Linked DNA regions of Cricetulus griseus. The protein of the gene in region 2 interacts with the protein of the main gene of each other region in a pairwise test. Links are inferred from orthologs where the notes say so. Each region holds a gene or a part of one and is shown on either strand. Other genes may lie near its edges.

The links.
Region 1: the proteins of Sdcbp (region 2) and Dctd interact in binary tests that used the Homo sapiens proteins (3 or more experiments, as listed by UniProt). The two-hybrid records come from large-scale screens. The link is inferred for Cricetulus griseus from reciprocal best matches to the Homo sapiens genes SDCBP and DCTD.

The regions. Positions count from the first base shown.
Region 1 is NW_023276807.1:38,622,545-38,626,293, reverse strand, and holds the start of Dctd (deoxycytidylate deaminase), read left to right. Parts: upstream 1-1,029; 5' UTR 1,030-1,352; intron 1,353-2,055; 5' UTR 2,056-2,061; coding exon 2,062-2,187; intron 2,188-2,351; coding exon 2,352-2,487; intron 2,488-3,749. UniProt on the Homo sapiens protein: Catalyzes the deamination of dCMP to dUMP, providing the nucleoside monophosphate substrate for the thymidylate synthase/TYMS.
Region 2 is NC_048595.1:154,128,776-154,132,524, forward strand, and holds the end of Sdcbp (syntenin-1), read right to left. Parts: intron 3,097-3,749; coding exon 2,925-3,096; intron 2,116-2,924; coding exon 2,024-2,115; intron 1,273-2,023; coding exon 1,218-1,272; 3' UTR 132-1,217; downstream 1-131. UniProt on the Homo sapiens protein: Multifunctional adapter protein involved in diverse array of functions including trafficking of transmembrane proteins, neuro and immunomodulation, exosome biogenesis, and tumorigenesis.

The DNA.
Region 1 (3,749 bases), on a different chromosome or scaffold from region 2:
TGCTGGTAAAACAAACAGGGACGCTTGTCATTCTGTGCTGGAACAAAAAAGTTCCTCCAGACTTAAGGGTCTAACATCTGAGTCCAGTAAACGATGTGCGAAGGAATCAGATGTAGTTCCTTGGGGCATATGACCTCCACAAACTTTACCAGGGGACTGTCAAGCAAGCATGTGTGCATCTTGACTGACTTGGAGAAGGCTTTAGCTTGCATCTCAGGGTCTTTCACAGGACTGGAGTAGAAATTCTAAACCTGGTCAACCAAAAAGTCAATGCAAATGAAGTTTCGAAGTATAGGCCTCAGGGCACAGCTGCACGCCCTATACCCTTTCTATATGAAACTAAAAAGCCATCGCTGGCTAGGAAGACACAGCCTGTAGGGCTTATTATAGAAACACAAACCAGGTCCCTTCATTCCTTGGCCCGGTATCTAGAATCAGTGGATCTTTTATTCACCTTTCTGTATTTACAGTAACTGTTTAAGAAGGTTCTTGATGGATTCAGAGGGCTGGGAGGATCACACTCAGCATCAACAACTAAACAACAACAACAACAACAACAACAACAACAACAAACCAAGCCCTCAGGCATGCAGGTCCCTTTCTGAGCCCACGCCTTTACCACCAGTGCAAAAAAGCCCAGGGGAGGTATCTGGGTGGTGGTGGTGCAGCCTTTAATCCCAGCACTCAGCAGGCAGAGGCAGGCGGATCTCTGTGAGTTCGAGACCAGCCTGGTCTACAAGAGCTAGTTCCAGGACAGCCTCCAAAGCCACAGCGAAACCCTCAACCCCAAAACAAACAAAAAAAAACCGCAAAGGTAACCGCAATGCTGGAATCCCGCTGCCACCTCGGGACAGAGGGTGACTCCACGCATGCCCGGCAAACTGCAGACCCACTGTGCACCAAGGACCCCACCGCCGTGCCCACCGGGGGTCGCGACCACGCCAGGGTGAGAGCCGCACTGGTCCCCGCCCACCCTTCCGCCGCGCGCGGGCCCGCCTCCCTCCTGACTTCCGTCCCGCGCGGCGGCGGTGGCGGCGGTCGGACGGTGCGAGTGTGGTCTGCACTCCCGGCGAGCGGACGGCTGGGGAGTCCCCTCGCGGAGGACCCGGCTCGTCCTGAGCTCCGCCTGCACGTGCGTGGCCACTCGTGGGCGGGCTCGCCACGGAGGAGGGAGGGAGCTCCCCGAGTCTGCTGGCGTCCACGTGGTGGGCATGCTGGAGACTTGAGAAGCTGGAGCAGAGTTGGAGGGGAGTTGCCAGGACTGTGCGTCCTTTCCGGGCTGTGGTGGAGCGGTTTCTCCCTGGACTGGTGACATCTCAGCCTCAGTTTCCTCGTTTTGAAGCTGCTCGTGGGTGGGTGCAGAGCCCCAGGGAGTTTTCTCAAGACCGGCAGCCGGCGGTGCCTTCCCATCCCCCTCCAAACCTTAAAGCAGGCGGGAAGCAAGTCCAGTCAGGAAGTCTCCCTGTTAAGCAGGGTTGCAAGGGCGACCGAGCCGTTGGCTATTATTTGTGCTTCCTCGTATCTGCCTTCCACTGCTAGATATTGTCCTGAAGTCTGAACGGGGAGTTTGGGAAATTCCCACCTTAAGATTTCTCAGTAAATAGGGTGACCCTGTATTGCTGTCCTTCCCCTAGTTTGTGAGTGGATTCTCCTAGCTGAAGTTCTGTGTCTCCTCCCACCTCTTCCCCCATTGTAGAGACCATCTAGACCTGGCCCTAAAGCCCTCGTTACAGAACCTGGCTTTAGCATTGGCATTTTATTTTTATTTTTTCCCATTTGAAAGGGACAGATCACCTGTTTAGTTCCCGAACTGGCCTCATTTCAAATGTTATTTTTTTATTTATTTACACTGGGCCTGGAGGGCAAATTTCCTGAGTTCTGGGTCTATAAGACCCAGAACTAATGACTGCTTTAGCTAGAAGTGAGGCTCTTAAAGTGGGTAGGACCCATGTTTTGTGATTTCTGTTTAGTAAGTACAGCTGACATTGCCCAGGGGTTAGGGCTGATGCCTTTCTTTGGAAAGCAGACCGACAATTTGTTCTTCCCCATGTTTAGTGGCAAATGACTTCTAGACCCAACATGAGTGACAGTTCCTGCAAAAAACGGGATGACTATCTGGAATGGCCTGAGTATTTCATGGCGGTGGCCTTCTTATCAGCCCAAAGAAGCAAGGATCCAAGTTCCCAGGTAAAGCGGTTTTGTAGGCGGATGTTCAGATACTTGCATAGATAGACACAAAGAACAGGTTAAAAACTGCAGCTGTAATCTGCTGACCTTTGTGGGGTGTTCCCTCATGCTTCTGTGCCACCTCCCCAGTGGTTACCAAACCTTTGGGCAATGTTTCTCTCTAGGTTGGAGCCTGCATTGTGAATACGGAAAACAAGATCGTTGGGATCGGGTACAATGGAATGCCAAATGGGTGCAGCGATGACCTGTTGCCTTGGAGGAGAACAGCAGAAAATAAGCTGGATACTAAATATCCCTATGGTAAGGTATCCTCAGATTGCATCTTGTCGTAGTTGAGTGCTTCATTGAAAAACTTAGGAAAGACCCTTTTAGTCATCAACGGGTAGAAAGGGAAAAAATTTTGTCATGAACTACCCTGTCTTCCTGTTTCCTCCTCTTTTAAACAGTGTTGTAATTACTTCTTTGATAATTTTATCTCCTTTTAAGATTTATATTTTTATCTTTATGTACATGCATTGTGCCTGCATGAGTTTATATGCACTACTTAGGTGTACTGAGTCTTTATCCCGCCAGCTGGCTCCCAAAACATGACACAGAGACTTCTTATTAATTATGAAAGCTCAGCCGGTAGCTTAGGCTTGTTTCTAACTAGTTCTTATTACTTAAATTAATCCATATCATTTAACCTTTGTTCTTTTCCATGGCTCGGTTACCTTTGCTTTGTAAAGCCCATGCTGCGTCTTCTGCCTCTTTTTTGAAACTCTTTCCTTCCCAGCATCCTCTCTGCCCTGAAAATTCTGCCTCGCTAATGGCCATTCATTTTTTATTAAACCAATCACAGCGACATACACAGTGCAATCAAATATCTTGCAATACATATTACAAGTGACTGCAGAGGCCAGAAGGGGGTGTCAGGTCCCTTATAACTGGAGCTACAGATGTTTGTGGGCTGCCTGATGTGGGTGCTGAGAATCAAACCTGGGTCTACCTCTGGAGCAGTGAGTGCGGTTAAGAGCTGAGGCTTCTCTCCAGCGCCTCCTGTTCCCATCCTCTTAAGTTTCAAAGAGAGCCACTGATGGAAGCATAGGCATTGTTATACAGGCTGGTCCTGAGTGCTGGCCCTTGCTGTCTTTGTGAGTCTGGTGTACTTCCCAGGGGCCCGAGAGCCTGTAGACACCAGAGCATGCAATGAAGGCCACAGCCCTTTGCAGAGACAGCAGGGACACACGTGAGGTGGCTCTGTAGGTTGTTCCTTTTCTTTGGGAAAGTGGAGGCAGCTTGCTAAGTGAAGCTTATGCTAACCAAGCAATGATTCCTCTTGCCTCATGGTCAAGTTCATCTCTGGGAAGCTGGTTTGAGACCAAGCTGGGCATCGCGAGGTGGATGGTGAGACTCCTCTTCCTATTGCTTGGGTCTGTCATCTCACCGTGGGCCATGTTCAGAACCAAAGGCAGCAGTAATAGAAATGAAGGCCTTGCCTTGGCTCTTTGGCTATTTACCTTGAAATTAGGAGAGGATGCTATGTTAGTTGCTGTTGTTGTGACCAGACTGACAGATATGAC
Region 2 (3,749 bases):
TCACCAGGTTCTCCCCACCTACAAGTGTACAGGCCTGGCCATCTAAGGATCTCAGACAAGTGTTAGCTCCAGGACTGTTCTCAGAGACCCCAGATGTGAGAAGAATGAAGGAATAACAGACAGACTAAAAGTTAACATTTTTATACATTTAATAGGATAGTATCAGGATATTACTAGGATAGGCATAAACCAAGAAGAAAAAAAAATTAAGATAAAGTGTCATTGTCATTTTTGTTTAGAGGACGGAATCAGAAAATAGAACAAATTAAAATGGCTAGGGAAACATTCTAAGATGACCCCAAAGTGACTAAATTACATAATATTAGGATTCAAATGCCAAATTAATATTGCCCACATAATCTACAAGTGAAAAGGCGACCCCCAAATTTGTTCTGTTTCTATAACAATGTTTGCATGAAATATATAGCGATTTATTTTTCAGAAAGCGATACGGCAACTTTTAGGCGTTTCCTTTATGCAGTGACTAGAAAATCTCCATACAACTAGGCAGCTCTGCTTAGCAGTGAGCTGCTTGGGGCTGGCAGGTACCAGCTTAATAGAGAGCTAACACTCAGGTCTCAGAAGGCAGCAATAATTCTATTTTGGCTTTTATTCTAAATGCTTGCTGTAGTTAAGGCGACAGTTGAAGCATATTAAGTGAAGGTAGTTAAAATTTAGTGACAATCATGACAGTCTTTTGCAAAGTACACACAATATATAATGCTTTTGTGGAATGAAACCAGAGTTGATTAACTGGAATTTTACACACTCATACAGAGAAAACTTAAAAGTAACTACCAAAGGCAATCATCCTCAATGTACTATGCTGATGTTCTAAAAATCCAGGTGTGCCACAGAAGTGAAGCACACGACTAGCACTGTGCTTCATCTAGGACAAAGGTGACCACTTATCACACAGCTAAGCCTACACCAGTCATCCTAACCACAATGGCTTATAAAAACATCAGGTTTCCAGTAAAGAAACGATTCTAGGAAAGTCAGTAAGTTTCACATCTGTAAAACCAGGATAAGGCTACAACTATCTTAAAATCTGCAGAAGACATCAGATAGAGTGAGGTTCCCAGCCATGATGGAAGATAGACAGGTCCCCATGCAGCATATTCTCCCTGGCTCCCGGAAAGCTTCATATGCAAAATATAGAAGTTGCCGAAGAAGAAAACTGGAAACATTCAGCTGTAATGCGTTGTTCAAAGTTTCTAAACCTCGGGAATGGTGTGATCCATCAGGCTTTTCATAATGCTTGGTGCCATCCTACAAGAGAGCCAACTCATCATATAACTCATATCTTATTTTCAAAGATGCCATTTTAACCCAAGACAACCCCAATTCCAGTGTAGCACTATTGTCTAAAGGTCTTTAAATGAGCTCAGAGCTACAGAACTGATAACTGAGTTGTCTAAGACTGTCCAGGAAAACTAAACATCTGCACCAGGGTCGACATGCTAAAGAAGGTGCAAGTCATTTACCTTAAGACTGGCAGTTTAATTAGAATAAAACAGCAAGGCTATGGAGTTAGAAGAAAAGGTGGAGAAGGAACCTACCAATGGTTAAAAAAAGAAAAAAAGACTATAAAACAGTCAAATGCTCACAACATTTTCCCTTCCGAGGGTACTTAGCTGCATTCTACCCAGAAGCCAAAATTACAAAGATTCCATTACAAAGGTTAGGTTTATGTATCTTTGAAATCTCACTTTCTATCAGGATTCTGAATGAAGGGTTTCCAAGAAACAGTACCAACTACAAAGACAGTCAGAATCACCCCTTGCTGGCCCTTGTCAGCTTGCATGGACTTTATACTTCTTGGTTCTGGGGGACAGAAAGCAAGCACCATGCACCCCTCTACCTCCTGAGACATACTGCAAATAGCAACAGCAACTCAATATCTCACAGGCAAGAAACCCCCATCATAACCACTGATTTCTAATAAGCAGAACTGCAGGCTTCAAGAAGTATTTACATTTATGTCAGGAGACAGCAAGCATAAGTAGAGCTGTCCACTTACCGTTTAATAATATGTTCAAAGATAAAAGCAGGCATGATTGTAATGGTAACTACAGTCCCAGCTGTTGACAGTATGTCTGCAATCTGAGAATCCTAGTGAAACATAACAGAATTTAATTTCACTGAAGCTTTATTTAATAAACATAAAACTGTAATTGTTAGGTAAGAGTCACACTATATTTGCTGTTGTCATGCTAGTATCTCTGGAGTCCCAATCCCTGGTATGTCTGAATTTTAGTTTTAATCTTACAGACATGTGTGTTTCAACCTGGTAGCAAAGTTGAAGGCACTGAACACAATCCTTCCCTTACCTGAAGATGGAGAGCTTGCCCCAAACACAGTCAACTGTATTCCAGAATTTATGAGTTAAAGTCTTACTTAAAACCTTGAGATCTTAAGGTAGTCTCAATTCAAAGATTTATATGCCGAGCAGGGTTTCACGTGCCTTAGACCCAGCACTGCAGAAGCAGGTACATGTGAGTTAGAGAACAGCATGGCCTACATAGTGAGTTCCTGGGCAGCCAGGGCTATGCCCATAAAAACTTTATAGATCAAAATCTATAAAAATCAAAGTATTAATATATACCAAGACTTATTCCTTTCCTGTATTTCTGAACTGAAAAATATTGGGACATTCATCCATTCACAATGTCTAAAAATGTCCCTGCCCATTTCTCCACAGAATTCTAGCTAGAGAGAGATCATAGAATCATAGTTTAGTGACCTTGGTATGGAAAAGATAATTCCAGGTAACATCCCAGAGTTACTGTGATGGCCTAAGACCATAGCTCCTACATTTATCTCCCAAGTTTCAGTGTTTGAGGGTCATCAGGAAAGTCACACCACCTCAATGTTATCTAAAATAAAATGGCTCCAAAACTAGGGTCCAGTGTGCTTCTTACCTTCAAGCCAATGACGTTCTGCCCGTTTATCTCACAGATGTGATGATCAGTGAGAAGGCCATTTCTGGCAGCAGAACTATCTTTCACTATGGATGTGATTTTTCCACTTTTAAAGATAAAACCAACATGTCCACTGCTGTCCTTATGCATAGTAATTGTCCGCTCAAAGGGCCTGTAAGAGTAAGTGCTGGGTTAGACTGAAACTTTAATTTCATACTTCAATAGACATGACATACCACAAATTGCCACATGGGTATTTTGTTACAGTAAGTGCTGTTTCTAATCATTTATTATGGCTCTTACACTATACATGGGACAGTAGCCTTGCTTAGTCTCAAAATTTGAATGACTTGCTAATCAAGATACCCTTCTGTTAAGTTGAGAAAACAGAACACACTACTTTGTGGAATTATCAATACATTTCTTATATTTTTGGTTGTGAGCCTAGCCTTTAATGGCTGAGCCATTTCTCCAGCCCATCAATACATTTCTTTACAGTCCACTATGCTTTGGAGTTACTACATTTTTCTTTACAATCCACCATACTTTTCAGTTATCATTACATTTTTCTTTACAGTCCACCATGCTTTGCATTAATGACAAGATGGCTTTGAACTAATTCATTGAATCTTTCAATACTTCTGGGAGCCGACTGACCTTAGGACATTTGACATTGAAAATGTTAGTTTTCACATCTCAATTTTGAAAATGTTATGGATGACACAGGGTCTCATTATGTGCAGCTCCATCCTCTCAAGTGCTGTGATTACAGGCAAAGCTTTGCTCTAATTTGGAAGAGCCACCAAAGAAGCAACGAGAGAGAGA